2 linked regions of the Bombyx mori genome follow. The protein of the gene in region 2 interacts with the protein of the main gene of each other region in a pairwise test. Links are inferred from orthologs where the notes say so. Each region holds a gene or a part of one and is shown on either strand. Other genes may lie near its edges. The genes, in order: mitochondrial matrix protein p33 and HMG box-containing protein 4.

Region 1 (8,059 bases), on a different chromosome or scaffold from region 2:
AGTACTGTGCTTCAACTGCATCATTCTCCAATAATGGCAACCATGATGAAGGTTGTTTGAGCTGCTCATCCATAAGTGGAGTGATGACTCTGTGGTCTTTACCATGTTTTTTTGTTTTTGACACTATGTACAGTTCTTGGCATGTGTTACAGTAGGCCCGGTCAGATACTGGCCTTGATCTAACCTATTCAAAAAAAGAGATTTATGTTTTCTTATAATATAAGAATGAAATGAACAATAAAAACTCTCATTACACATAACATAACATGACACTTAAAAAACTCAGTGGCAATTATGTACCAAATTACAATTAGTTTGGTGAAGGCGTTTTTTTTGAAGTGAAAACTTCTTTAGAATCGTTGTGATTTCAAACCGGATGCAACGGAAAAAACGACAGGTAAGAGACACAAATACAAAAGAATGAGACAGAAATATACATACTATTTAATACAGCGCCATCTGTGAGATTTTTTTAATACTAATGTGTGTATGAAAGCTCTTGTAGTGAATTTTAATTTAGGATTATACGTGAAATTAAAATATCAATTCACAGAGGGCGCTACCTTACAATTATTTACTAATGACAAAATTTTAAGACGTTTAGGATACAGTCAAACCTGGATAAGCGAGAGTTCAAGGGAGCACAATCTCATTCTCGCTTATAGAGGTTTCTCACTAACCCGAGTTTCTCTCTAATGCTCCCTCTGAATTTCATTTAGAGATTTTACGGATTCAAACGAATTCACTATTTTAAGTTTATCACTTAATGACAGTAGTTTAATTTTCCGTTTTGACATTATGCAGAACAGAACTTTCCTTCGCAATTGATTAACGATAAACTGGGTAAGTCTGACAAACAAGATGGTACACAGGCACACGTGTCCATTTGAAAAGAATGCCATAAAATAATAACGTTATTTAGTTCCACGAAATAGAATAGGTTCAATATTGACGAGAAAACAATACAAAAACAATGTTAAGAAGTTCCACGAAAGTTAAAAAATGCGTCATAAAATATTAGATTTTAAATTTGTAATTTGTTTTGTCATTTGTTCCTCCTAAATAATATAAATAAATAAAGCTCGACTGTCGCTTATAGAGGTATAGAATAGTAGCAGTCTCACTTACGGAGGTTCATGAGGGAAAAATACTCCCTCTTATAGAGGTTTCCGTTTCTCGCTAATAGAGGTTTTAGGAGCTAAAAATGACGGGTCCTGGCTATTACTCTCACTTATAGAGTTTTCTCACTTATCCAGTTCTCACTTACCCAGGTTTGACTGTAATTGTATTTTAATTTTGGAAGGTTTCACTTCTACCACGTGTGAATTGCACACATGTAAATTTTTTTTAAAGTAAGTATTTGTCACAATTTTACATTATTAATACACTACTATTTACTTTCTGATCAGAGTAGAGTTTGACAGACAAAGTGACCATCTACTTTATCCCAAAATTCCTGATTCCGAAACTTTTTTTTACCAACGTTACTTTTTAACAACTTTAAAATATCTTCCGAATTATCAATTACCAAACTCGGCAATCAGAAATCTGTAGAAAACATTCTAACCTCCGCAAAGTTATTCCACGCTTGATTTTTATTGATCGTTGGAATTAGGCTATAGTACTTTTCATTTCGTTTCTTGACGTTCTCCTTCAACCAGTCTTCTTCGCTGATGTGTACTGTGCAGTCTTTTTTGTTCCTGCACGACGAACATGCGAAATATCGACCTTTTTCGCTAGAAAATAATAGTGTTGGCCCGTGCATGCACAGTGGGTGATTTGTTACGTCTTCTATGACTACTTCGACCGGTGCTGACTTAGGTGTGTCGCCCAATTTTGACATAATCTTTCGCTTTTTCGCCATTGCAAACTATTTATAATTTAATTTGCGTTTAATATTGTATAGCTTGAATAAAAACACGTTCCAACCAAGTCCAAGTTGTTAAATGTCAATTGTCAAAAACTTATCCTAAATTTTTATCGTTCCAATGGGCTAGCAAGGGGAATGTTGCCCGTACGTTATCTTATGTAACACACACCCGAAGTCTATTTAACAAAATTTATCGAGTTTTAAAAAAGTCCAGGTGGCTCTAGATGTACTCGTCATTTTACTGAAAAGTTATTTTATGTCACCAGAAATGATAAATGATCACTTGTGATGGTCTTATCTAATTTTACCTCATTTAAACGTTAGCAGTAGTGAAATAAAAATAATAAAAGCGAGATTAAACCGCAAATCACGTTTAAATTTTAAAAAATACCGAACCCGAAAAACTCATTTTACGAAAAACTACATTCAATGGATTTGTTTCATTTTTGTGCACTTTCACAAATGTTCAGAAATAGAATAAAACAGCTGGTTTTATGCAATTAACTCTCGAAGCGTTTAACCCTCAGACATAGCCACAGCCCACTGAGTTTCTCGACGGATCTTCTCAGTGGGTCGCGATTCCGATCCGGTGATAGATTCTGCGAAGCATGGCTCTTGCTAGGATTCGTGTTCACGGGGCTCAAACTTGATGACATTGCTATCATCAAGTTTGAGCCCCGTGAGCTCACCTATTAGTTAAGGCGATGCTGATATAGCCTCTCAAGGCTCAGCTTAGTTAGGTAAAAAAAAACCGGAGCGAATGAAAAAGTTTGATTTAAATTAAAGAAATAATTTGATTTAAATTAAGTAAATTATTTACAGACTCCCGCCATTTGACACAAAGTATTCGATTGCGCCAGACCGGGAATGAGTTCAGGATATGCCATCACCCACCTTGAGAAACAAAACTGGCATAGGCATGTATTAACAATAGGGAAAGGTCGATATCTATCCATGCATGCATGTCGCATATATTACTACCAGTTTTTTCTTTATATTTATTTTAACTTTAAATACACGGTTCCACCTTACGAAACAGAAGATTCAGTTTCATATTATGTTAAAAATATTCATCTCATCCAACTCCTAAAATGTTGCATCCTCTCATTTAAATCTATTTCATTTCATTCAATTTCATGTCCATAATTATTTCATTTATAGTTTTTAAGCACTGACTTCAGCTTTTCCGAAGCAAAAATCTTGTATAGGCTATTCCTTTGCCCCTCCAATAGACGAATCGTGAAACAACTAAAGTCGTCTGTGGTCTCAATTCTCATTCACTTTTTCAACCTGACTAAAGTTTTGTAAAAAAATTTAGAAAAGTGAACATTAAGTTCAATAAGCAGGAAAAATGAGCGGCATAGTTAAAGCGACCCATAGAGTGCTGCAAACATGCGTTAAAACTGCGAACTTAAGCGGGTTGGTTAGTCGCACACAGACGGCTGTGAAACGCGACTTTACTAGGGGTATATGGCACATGAGCTGCTCTCGAAGGTTAGATGGGACCCTGGCTTCCACCAGCTTGCTACACAACCATTCCAATACTTGCAGCTGCGGCTGCGGGTTGAAGGCGCTTCACACGAAAGGTATTAAATTTCCGGCTATCTCCATTATAGGTTATAATTACACCATGCTTCGTTGGTCTTTAAATGTATCACCAATAATAAAATAAGGTATTTGTTAACGTTAATTTAAAAGGAAATTATTTTTTCTAACAAATTTGTTGCACACAAATGACGAAATAATGGGAAATCATTAGACAAATTTAATACTTTAAATGCGTTTTCTAGCCGATAAAGAAGACGAACACTCCATTAAACCCAAGCCCCTTGGTGAGTCCTAATCCTATTCCTTAACTAGTAAGTTCTGCGGTGGTACTAGCTTCATGTTAAATTGATGAACTGAACAAAACTAAAATTATATGGACATATGAATATATTTAAATAAAATTTTGATCATCACCAAAAAGTACTAATACTCTGAACAAAATTTATCATATTTTAATATTATGTACTTACATCAGATCATTAGCCTTTTTGAAAAAAACACATCTTGCATCACAGGTTGTGCACTAAATGCAAAATTCAGAAACCTGGTGCGTAATATCAAAAACAAATGTACCCACTAACAATTCAATTGGATAATTTTTTTTTAATACAATACAAATAAACTATGAGTTCTCATTCAGAAACAAAACGGGACAATTAATCAGGGTATGGGTTTGAAATGCATCAACATTCTGTAGGTCCAATGCTTAGCTCATTCAAATCAATTTAGTAACAACAATAACATTGAAGATTAAATTAATTAGTCATTGAGGTAAATTTGGGAGTTTACAGAATTATTCAAAATTAAAAAAATCATCCCTGCAAAATTATCTTGGGCCTTTCAAAATCAGAAAGGTCTTAGAATCAAGCAGGGTACATTAAAAACACACTTTCATCCAGGAATGAAATTAAAGATTTTCATTCCTGCATAGAGGTATGTGACATTCTTTCCAGTTTTAGTGTGGGTGTGCTCTTTCTTTCAATTTAGAATAGGAATAACATTTATATTTTAAAATTTAAAATAATCTATTTCACCATTTTTAGAATAACGATTATTTCAAATCCTAATAACATGTATTATAAACATGGATAAATTTTTCAATATCCAATATACATAATAATATATCAATGTATAATGGTGATAACACGTGTTGCAATACTGTAGCACTGTATTTCTATCACTAAGCAGTTACGTGTTCAAGTTTGAAGGCATTAAATAAATCAATTAAGATCACAATCTCATGTTTCAAGGTGGGTGACAGAATTTATGTTGTGATGTCTGTAAGTTCTGTAATCACTTAACATCTGGTGGTCTATGAGCACATTTACCATCTAAGCAAATTCAAATTCAAATTCAAAATCATTTATTTCAACTTAGATGTCAGTATGACACACTTGTTGAATGTCAAAATACAAATAACAATGTTAACTCTACCACCGGTTCCAAAAAAAGCCACAGTCCTGAGAAGAACCGGCGAAACAAACTCAGCAGGCTTTTTTTTTTGTTTTTTTCTCAAATATTTTCTTTTTTTTAAATAAATAGAAATATTCACAATAAAAGAAAAAACAAGTCAAAAAAATACAATTAAAAAAAAAATTATAATAATGAAAAATGAAAAGGCCAGGAGTGAGCGCCTCATTCCCACGTAGTGCCATCTAGTAAATAATCCTTAGCTTTAAACAGTTTTCTTAAATCTACGAACAGGTAGTAGTTGAACGTTTAGTGGGATCTTGTTGAGCAAAAAAAGCATAAAAATAATTCCATTTGCTAATGGTATTCAATTAAATGTAATAATTGAAATCCTTAAATAGGACAGACATTACAAATAGGCAATGCTCATTTGCAGATAATCATTCATTTATTTATATTGTAAAGGACACCCTTGATTTTCTAGCCCCAATAGAAAACCTTGAAAAGTATTATTTTAACTTTAATTAGTACTGTGAGGATCTTTGATCAGTGTGCGCTGCATGTTGGTGTAGTTACTAATTAAAAAAAATAGTTACAGTCAAAACCGTTTACTGCGACATCGTTTAATACAACATGCCGGTTATAATAACCAAGAACAAAGGTCCCGGCTGAATGCCATATGACCGCCTTATTAAAAATATTGGTAATAACGACATACCTCATAAAACAACCACATTTAACTAATATTTCGGAGAATTAGATCTGTTAGAACGACCGGCTAGCTGTATTGTAAACTATTTGAATAGGTATCCACATTTGTCTTCAATGGCTATTAAAATCAGGAAAGAAAACAATAGGATTTAGTTTAGTGTAGGGTCTTTTCTAATTCTTAGAAACAAAACACGTGCATGCGGTAGTCAAAGCCCGCTTCTTCATATCTCTTCAGTTAGTTTGTTACTTATCTATACACAAGACGCACCAAAACTTTGTGGAGTTATTCGTGAAACTTTCAAAATGTCGCAAAGAAAAAGAAAACAAATTAATATTGAAGAAAAATCGCGTATTATGTAAATATATTTTTCCAATAACTCTCTATCGATTTGTTTGTACTTGCACGATACACATTAAACATCACCGGTTGTTACGACTATCGGTTTTTGCGACTTAATATGAGCAGTCCCTTCGATGTCGTTATAACAGATTTTGACTGTATATCCAAACTCGCTATCTGTAGTACTATTCTCTACTCTAAAAATGTTAACATCCTACTAACTTATATTCTGACAGGCACAATGAAATATAGTGTTGAATAGTATAGTTGGATTTTCTCTGTTGATCTGCAGTTATTACTATTCATCATTATAATCAAGAGTAATGTAAATCTAATGTAGTTGTTGTAGTTAATAAAATAGTAGTGAAATGAGAGAAATTAAAAAAATACCTTGTTTGTGTATTATAAACTTGTTGTTTGTTGATTAAAATTCATTACCTACTTATTGAATGTTTTACAGTATTGTAGAATAAATTGCACTTATTTTCATTCTCAATGTACATAATAAAACCAATTTATATAAATTCAGGTGAAAGAGAACTGGTAGAGTTCCTGACAGAAGAAATAGTTGCTGAACGCAAAGCACAGAAGGTCAAGTCTCTCCCTGCTGAAGTCGAAGGCTTTACTGTAAAGGGAGACGGTGCTGAAGTTGTTTTAACAAAGCAGCTTAAAGATGAAACGTAAGTAATGAAATCTTGAGAAGGAGAAATATTGAATAATTTTTTTTTGGGGAAACAGTTGTTAATAAATGTTGCCAAATACTTATTTTACTGCCCAGCAATCTTCGTCAATTTGTTGAAATTCGAAAAACTAAAGAAACAAGCCCACAGAAATATCATTAAAAATAGTGAAATTTTAAGTCTAACTATATATTTTTTTCAGAATTCGTGTCACATTCAACGTTAATCACACTGTGGACTCTGATGACTTTGAGGGTGATGTTCAGACTGAGAAGCAAGAGTTCTCTGAGATGCGTTCCAAACCTCAGTTTGAGGTTGACCTAGTCCGAGGAGACACCACCCTTGGTTTCACCTGCTCCTATCTTCAAGATCCACCTGCAGCTTCTGCTGATGAATATAGTGAGTATACATAAACTTAATTATTTCTTGATTCTGATTAATCAAATGGGTCTAAAGATTGAGTACTAAGAAGTCAAAATAGTCTGTTTACCATATCGACGCTTGAAAGACAAACGTGACTAAGCGACAATAACTGCTTTGTACATAAATGATAGGTAATAACCATATTCAATGCACAAAAAAAAATATTTCTAGGTCTATTAAAAGCATTCCAATCCTACAGCTACTAGCTAGATTCTACTACAGCTAGATTCATTAAAATAAATTTTGTTTTCAAATATTTCAACTTTAAATTAGTCTACTGTAAAGTTCACGCACTGTCGCTTAGTCACATTTGCCTTTCAAGTGTCGATATACAATTTACAAAGAAAAAAGTTTATTTCAGTTTAGAATTTGGTGATAGTGCAAGAATGTGTCAAGACTCACCCTCCCCTTTCCTTTTTTCCCTTTTTGTTTCTGCCATAATACAATTAATATATAACCTCAATCTTAAATATCAAGGTGTCATCATTATTCACTTTTGATCTGTGTATAGGGGTATCAAAATTGCTGTTGTATTAGATGAAGTACTAAAGGTGTGAAGGTAGCAAGAATCCAGTAGATCTGAGCAGCATGATGTCGATGTTTTTTTTTTATTGCTTTGATGGGTGGACGATATCACAGCCCACGTGGTGTTAAGTGGTTACTGGAGCCCATAGACATCTACAACGTAAATGCGTCACCCACCTTGAGATATAAGTTCTAAGGTCTCAAGTATATATTCAAACCGAAACGCATTACTGCTTCACGGCAGAAATAGGCAGGGTAGTGGTACCTACCCGTGATGATTCACAAGAGGTCCTACCACCAGTAATAATGCAAATTATAATTTTGCGGGTTTGATTTTTTGGGGGTTGTTTTGGACCTTCAGGAGGCCTTTATCTAACAGTAGTTGTCTGTAAATTTGATTATTGAAAATAAAATGAAAATATATTAAAATAGTCTATGTAAGCAAAAATAATTCAATTATTGACATTGTTAGCATTGAATCAACACATTATAGACAAAAAAGATCAGAGCTTTTTGCAAATATAAATTATTTGGTATCACATACAAAATACC
Region 2 (8,128 bases):
GTGGGGCACAAACATTTTAATATTATAATTTATTACAATTTGAGACTTGCCTTCCGACCTCATGTCACAAGGCGACATTTACGTCGTGATATCTATGGGGCTGTACAAAACACACACACACACACACACACACACAACACACACACAACAATAAGTCTATAAAGTGTAAACTTACTCGGATTGGATATGATTTTGTTGATAACTTGATTGTTTTGCTCCTTCTGTATGGCGAATCTCTTGGCTTTGCGCTTCCACAAGTATCTCTCGTTGTAATTCACCTGAAACATTCATTAGGAATTCACGAATACTTCAACTACTTCATACAGAAGAATACTCTGAATATTTTTTATTAAAGTGGGCCTTTATAAATTCTTTTAAACTATAACGACCACAGCAGATCCGACAAAAAGACTTAAACTTATTTTGAAGTTATACTTCTTTAGGCGCGTTATAAAAAATTGATGCGAGTGAAATTTTACGATGCGCGCGCACCGTGACACAAAATGAACAGAAATGAAGTTGCCCACTAAAGAAAAAATGCTACCAACAAAACAGAAATGGAACCTCTGTTAGTGGCGCGTGTTGGCACGCACGCCGCCTCTGTTCACTGTGTATTTATATTTAATATAATTCATACTAAATATTATTAAATTATTAACGTTAAATATTTATTATTAATTATTTATTTAATATTAAAAAAATAAAGAAATGAATTTAATAAAAATAAAGTATAACTTCTTACGCGCGTACATAAGTACACGCACCCTTTTTTTCTAATGCATCATACATCGCTACTACAAGTACATGTCATTGTATGAATATTATATTTTAATATTATATTTGTAGAATATCTTGTAGCGTGCAACACTGGCATATCTGAGTCGGAATTTCCGCCACTAGAAGTCAGTCGAGACTTTTTGGCGGGAACGAGAGGAGTCATTGTGTGATTTGTTTTATTTTGTCTATTTAGTGTTTCTTCAGGCTTAAATGTGTAATAACGGTTTTTTTATGAACTGTTTAATATCTGTGAAAGTGCAGAAATGTGGAAAAATTAAACACGTGTGGCACTCGGGGACTGCCGCGGTAAAGCTATTATTGCATAGCATTCTTTATCAACTTATGCAATTATAATTGGACAATAATAATTTAATATTAAAACAATAATAAAATAAGACCACGCTATATTTATAAACATATAAGCAAAAAATTAATTGTCCCATTCACATTCATAAGCTGGACCGCGCGAGAGAGAGATGGGCAGACTTTTCATGATGCGCATGTAGTGCGACGTCACGCCGCGCGCTTATTCACAAACATTACACAAGCGCACCGTATGAATGTGTTGAACGCGAGCTACATGGTAGGCGGAGTGGGGTGTTAGGTTTTATTTTCGTTACGGAATTTCTTGATTCGGTCGCCGCGTTCATACCCCGCGATAAAAGCTATGCAATAGTTTAATAAGGCCATCCGACCAAATCTTTCTTTTTTTAAAACCCAAAATTTGTTTCTAGTTATTACATTATACTCACATTAGACCACATTTCTCCAAGTCGTTTTGATATAGCCGAGAAATCCATATCAGGGTGTTTCTTAAGCAGTTCATTGCGGGCCTCTTTCGCCCACATCATATAGGCTGTAATTCGTGTTTTTCCTGTGAAGGTACAGTAATTTGAAACACGGTGGTATTACAGTGGTATCAGTAAAATCATTTAAAGTTCAAAGTTTGGAAAAAATGCAATGACAAAAACTTCAGCCATTTGAATGTGATAAACATAATTGAAGTTCAATTAAAAACTTCGAATTCTTTATACTATATTATAAAGCTGAAGAGTTTGTTTGTTTGTTTGAACGTGCTAATCTCAGGAACTGCTGATCCGATTTGAAAAAATCAATCAGTGTCAGATAGCTCGTTTTTCGAGGAAGGCTATGAGCTATATAACATCGCGCTAGACCAATGTAAGCAGAGCACCAATAAATAATCTTTCAAAATCAGGGTTTTTTCCCTTTTGAGAGCTTCCACTGCGTGTGCTGCGGTAACGGTTAAAGTTTCGCTAAAATAATGTATGACAAAATTGTTGCCCTTTAAAAGCTCTGAAAAAAAATTCATGAGAGTATATGTCTTTTCAGGTTGGCTCACTATAACATTTTTTATGCTAACCAAATTTGTTCTATAATAAAGAATTATTAATGTAGGTGTTTTTATAGAGATGATATCCAAATAAATATTCATTACAAATTGTTATTTGTTATGCCAAAGTAACAATTCCACGCGGACGATGTCGCGGGCAAAAACTAGTATCAGATAAAACAGATCTTTAATTACAAATATAATTGTCACGTATTAATCGAAATGGTGCCATTAAACCACATAACCTTTCACTTCTTTATAAGAAGATCTATTGTATGTATATCTAAATATACTTCAGGGATGGTTTTTTCATGGTTAGTTTCAAATGAATATGATGGCATACATCAGGGCTTGGCCAGATTGCGCTAGTAGGAACTTTGAAAATGTTTATAAAATTTCATCTCATACATAGTTTAAGCAATTTCTCATCTTACCAATATACTTAGTTAGAAACTGTTTGTCTATGTTTTTTTGTACATAATACAAGTTTAACAAAGGGTAATAAGACAGATTTCCCATAGACACAGCCCACTGAGTTTCTCACTGGATATTCTCAGTCTGTGCCTATTCTAATCTGGTGGTAGATTCAGGAAAGCACCACTCTTGCTAAGGTTTGTGTTAGCAATTCTCTCAAGTTAAGCCCGTGATCTCACCTATCGGTCTATTTGAAGTTGCAATAGCCCCTTAGGCTACCAATGATTAGGTGGGGGAAAAAAGATACCTTTATCTTTTCGCTGAGCTTTAGCCCTGCCAATGACTCGGCCATCCTTCACAATTAGCTTCTTCTTACTATTCTTCTCCATCATGTACAATGAGTTAGCCGGAGTACGGGCCGATCCCTCTTCAGAAGCCGAACTGTCTGATTCCAAGCTAGAGGTAAAATTCATTACTGTGAATTGAAGCGGCACTGAGTTTTTAATATATTATGCGAAATTTGTCTTTCCACTTTTGATAAGTTGTCAGATAATTACTTTGACATGCAGTACAGCTATCGCATTAATCAGCCCGGACTACAAAACTATTTTTCAATATATCTGTAAGTTCAATTAACAAACAATATAACCATAGCAGTTATATTATAACAAATACACAGCTATTAAATTTATTATATATTAAGAGAAAATTGCTAGTTTTTAGGTAACCTAAAGGTGGACGGACATTATCAAGGAGGCCACAAACACCAGAGTCCCGGGCGCCATTAAGCAGGCCGAATGCAGGCAGCCTTGGAGGAAGCTGATGCAAAAACTGGACCAAGGTGGTCACGACCCTCAGGAATGAGGAAACGACAAAGAAGAAGAAGAAGAAAGAAAGATGAATAAGAATTAGAGTATTATACATTTCATGTATACAATAAATTTTATGTTCTTATGTTTTTCAGAGATTATTTACTAATGTTTAAAACAGATTTATTCAACTCAACTTGTATGTTGTAACATAATGTGTATACAGTTTTTTTTTTGTTTAATATAGAATAAGGAGGTGTTTAAGTGAATAATGCTAAGAAGTTACTCAAGGGACTATTTTCTGGCTGCCAGTGGTGAAACTTTACCTATCAGCGTTTTCAGCATTATTCTCATAATAATCAGATTCGCTTCCCGATGCAGTGTTCACCTCCTCGACCGGCCTCTGAGGTGTTTCCTGGATACTGTAGTCAGGTTCCTCCTGACGACTTGTGGTGTATGTCTTGACGGGTGTCTGGCGCCTGAACCTAGTCTCGATATCGTCGGGCGACTCAAAGTCCATTAGCTTGGAACTCTTCTTTCTAACCCGACCACTCCTCGATATACCGGTGACTTCTAAATCTGAAATAGTATTTCATGTCTTAAATACGTACGATCCATAATTTGGTTGCGACAGAGTCCCAGTATAGGGCCAGACGACCGTGATTTGCCCTTGATCACTTATTTATTACTTAACAACACAATACCACTAATCAAAATGATGTTAAAGTACTATATCATTTTACGTGTTATTAAACACGTTTAAAACTTATATTGACTTGAATTCCATACAGTAAATGTATTGTATTTATTAGTTACCTTCCTGCATCTCTTTATTCACGTCTTTTCTACAGTCGTATTAAAAGAGTTAATAAAAATCAATAAATAATAAAACCCAAGCATAAGTGTTAGAAATGACAGATGGCAGTTTATTTTCATTTTATTTTTCGTTTGTTTGATTTATATGATAAGCAAAAGAAACCGAGGTTAAGAGCCAAGCCTTTTGGAACAAGACGAAACATACTAAACAAAGATCGGAATGTAAAGAGAACGAAATGATGAGTGTGGAATGGACACAACTAAAAAGCAGAATAAAAGTGTTCGATGAGATAAAAATACTCCGAGGAGAAATTCACTAGGAGTACAATAGGCCTTTTAGAAGAACACGAGAAGCCAGTAATTTAAGCTTTTGGGAGATTAATGACAAAGGCAAGGTCTACCGTCGAATGGGTGTAATTGCTACGTAGACTGATGGTCCCAATGCTGTTGTTTGGATCTTCTATAGATTCAAGGTGCTTTTAGGCAATACAAGCACCGGTCACCGTCCTCGCCGAACCCGTCGCTTGCGACGAAGGGCTCGACGAGCGAATTAACCCACAGACACAGCCCACTGAGTTTCTCGCCGGATCTTCTCAGTGGGTCGCGCTTCCGATCCGGTGGTAGATTCTGCGAAGCACTGCTCTTGCTAGGGCGGTGTTAGCAATTCTCCGGTTTGAGCCCCGCGAGCTCACCTACACAAGCTAGGGTACGCTGAAATAGCCTCTCAAGGCTATCAGCATAGGTAGGAAAAAAAAAAAAAAAAAAATATAGATTCAAACTTATTTTGAAAATGTCGTTAGCGAGATTCAGGCATCTGTCAATGAATCTTGTGTTGTATTGTGGCTGCCGCCGCCGCGCCGGACATATGCGAATTTTGATCGGATGTACAAACGTTTTGGCGGGAACCCGAATAGCAAATCAACTGGCAACAAGTATATTGTGTCAACTAAATAATAATATATGCTCTTAAATATCCCCTTAGTTTATATACTTACCTGGCCGTTTCAGAAATAAGAAATTTACAGTGAACCCACACACGTTTTATACATGCTTTAGAATTCCTAAGAACACTATACGAAATTCAACTGTTATATTCAATTATAAATACTTTCCAAAAATGTGAAAGTTCAATTTTCTTTTTTAAGTTACTATACATTTGTACCAAGAATATAAAGGGTACCCGGGTATCGGTTGCTAGTTTTTAATCGGTCAGACGATGGTATTGTACGGGGAGAGGTTTACTCTTAGTATGGATGCGGCTTTATTTTCGGGTCTTTTTTTTTTTTTTTTTTTTTTTTTTTTTTCCTACCTATGCTGATAGCCTTGAGAGGCTATTTCAGCTTACCCTAGCTTGTGTAGGTGAGCTCGCGGGGCTCAAACCGGAGAATTGCTAACACCGCCCTAGCAAGAGCAGTGCTTCGCAGAATCTACCACCGGATCGGAAGCGCGACCCACTGAGAAGATCCGGCGAGAAACTCAGTGGGCTGTGTCTGTGGGTTAATTCGCTCGTCGAGCCCTTCGTCGCAAGCGACGGGTTCGGCGAGGACGGTGACCGGTGCTTGTATTGCCTAAAAGCACCGTTAGTGGATCAGGAGGATCCGTGATGACGTGCTTTGGGCGACGTCGACGGTTTACCAAACGGTCTACAGGATCGGGTATGTAGTTTCCGGCGGCCACGACAAGAGGGTTCTCATGTCGTGCCGCCTTTTCAAAGTGGCGCAGCGATGCCGACTGTAGATACTTACTGACGGGGTCGAGCTCCAGGTCATCGTGGAGGTCCACGTTCCTCTGGAACCATGGTGCTCCGACGGCTATCCTGCAGAATCGGGATTGTATTACCTGAAGGGGTTTCAAGTTGGTGCGGGCCGCGTGAGCGAACACTACGCTTGCATACGTCATGACGGGGCGTATGCAAGTTTTGTAGAGGGTTACCTTGTTACGGAGGGACAGTTTGCTTCGTCTACAAAGCATTGGGTAGAGTCGTCCTAGTATAAACGCGGCGCGATCGCGTACCGTTTTTACGTGGGGACGGAATGTCATCCCTCTGTCGAGGGTGACGCCTAGGTATTTGACCTTCGGGGCCCACGGTATGGGCTGGTCAAAGAGAGTGATGGGGCTAACGGCGGAGGTGTTTACGCGCCTACTGGGGAGTGGGGTGCTCGAAGTGGTATTCGGAGGGCGACCCCTTTTGAATAGCACCGCTGTGCTTTTCGTGGGGTTAATGTCTATTCGCCACTTCCGGAACCACTGTCCCATGGTGGTTACTGCGGTCTGGAGTCGCCGATGAAGCAACGACATCTTCCTACACGAGTAGTAGATAGCCGTGTCATCGGCGAAGAGCGCTAGATGGGTCTCCGGAGACCGGGGTATATCGTTGATATACAAACTAAATAGTAACGGGGAGAGTGCGGAGCCTTGCGGGACTCCGGCAGTCAGATGACGGGGACGAGAACGAGTTCCCTCTACTCGATATCGAAACGAACGGTTCGACAAGAAGTCTCGTATGATGAGCACGAGTCTGTCTGGCACTCCCATGTTGTACAGTTTGTAGATCAAACCGTTGTGCCAGACTTTGTCGAACGCCTTCGCTACATCGAAGAAGAGGGCGCCGGTCGGGATTTGTTTACGCCTATTTAGCCCTATTAAGATGTGCTCCGTGAGGCGGTGCACTTGTTGTACGCACGAGTGTTTGGCGCGGAATCCAAACTGCTCGTCTATTAGAATTTTATTCGCGGTAACGAAGTCCCAGAGGCGTTTCCGAAGGAGCCGTTCGTAAATTTTGCCTATCGCTGGGAGGAGACTAATCGGTCGGTAACTAGCGGTTTCATTATTCGGTTTGCCCGGCTTGTGTATACCGATAACGTCTGCTTCTTTCCATACCGCCGGAAAGATGCAGTGCGTCATAGCAGCATTTAAGATGGTAGCCAACATTGTTATCAGTTGGACTGGTAAGAGTTTTAACGCGCGGTTGCGGATGCCGTCGGAGCCGGGTGCCTTCTTAGGTTGAAGGTTGTCTATTACTTCTCTAACTTCGTCAGAGGTAATGGGGGGTAACGCGTCCGAGGGTGGCAGGGAAGCTCTGCGCTCGACCTCCCTGTCGACTGCCTCGGTGTGTTCGGGGTCCGCGTATTGAGTGCTGGTGGTGCACTGCTCTTGCAGTGCATCGGCCAGCAACTCTGCCTTGTCATCGTCATCGAAAGCCGGTGGTTGGCCTGAAGGGCGTACGAGAGGAGGCATAGTAGCGGTAGTTTCGGACTTGAGAGTCCTTGCTAGTCGCCAGTATGCTTGATGAGAGGGCGCGAGTCCTTCTAAGTAACTATCCCAATTCTCATTTCGGGCGTCGCTTAGGCGAGATTTTACATCCCGCTGTAGACGACGCATCCGAATCCGGTTTGAGTGCGTGGGAAGTTGATCGTAGGCCCGGATTGCCGCGTTTCTAACTCTTAGGAGGTTCCTAAGTTCGGGGGACAGTCTGATGCGGTGGAAGCTATCCTCCACATCGACTTATTTTGAGGATCTTATGATCGCGGAAGAGATGTGATCCGTGATGATGTTTATGGATTCGACTGTGTCCTCGGGGGAGGGAGTTGAATCCGGGCCGCAGGGGAGGATTGGTGGAGCGGCATCGGCTAAGCATTTGCCCAGCTTCTTCCAGTCCACCATGGTCCTCGTAGCTGTGACTGGGTTGTGGGGGCGACCGAGCTGCATAACGACAGGTCGGTGGTCTGAGTCGAGCTCTGACATTGCTTCGATGGAACGCAAGCGCAGAGTTACGTTCCTCAGCAGTGCCAGGTCTATAGTGCTCGGACGGAGCGCGATGTTATACGGATGACATGTTGGAGTTGGGGGACCGACTACTTCAAAGGTAAGGTCGTCTATAAACGCGTCGAGACGCCTACCATTTATGTTTGAACTGTGGCAGTTCCACCTAGTGTGGTGGCAATTTAAATCGCCTGCCAGG

What was found.
Region 1: the proteins of HMG box-containing protein 4 (region 2) and mitochondrial matrix protein p33 interact in a two-hybrid assay, tested with the Drosophila melanogaster proteins (2 studies listed by BioGRID). The link is inferred for Bombyx mori from reciprocal best matches to the Drosophila melanogaster genes CG4617 and P32.

Annotation. Positions count from the first base shown.
Region 1 is NC_085114.1:15,033,230-15,041,288, reverse strand, and holds the start of mitochondrial matrix protein p33, read left to right. Parts: upstream 1-3,111; 5' UTR 3,112-3,221; coding exon 3,222-3,456; intron 3,457-3,660; coding exon 3,661-3,702; intron 3,703-6,408; coding exon 6,409-6,559; intron 6,560-6,761; coding exon 6,762-6,958; intron 6,959-8,059. Other genes in the region: rRNA N6-adenosine-methyltransferase ZCCHC4, read right to left, coding at 1-184, 1,568-1,864.
Region 2 is NC_085129.1:19,397,330-19,405,457, forward strand, and holds the start of HMG box-containing protein 4, read right to left. Parts: upstream 4,415-8,128; 5' UTR 4,178-4,414; coding exon 4,168-4,177; intron 3,931-4,167; coding exon 3,678-3,930; intron 2,999-3,677; coding exon 2,850-2,998; intron 1,652-2,849; coding exon 1,530-1,651; intron 279-1,529; coding exon 176-278; intron 1-175.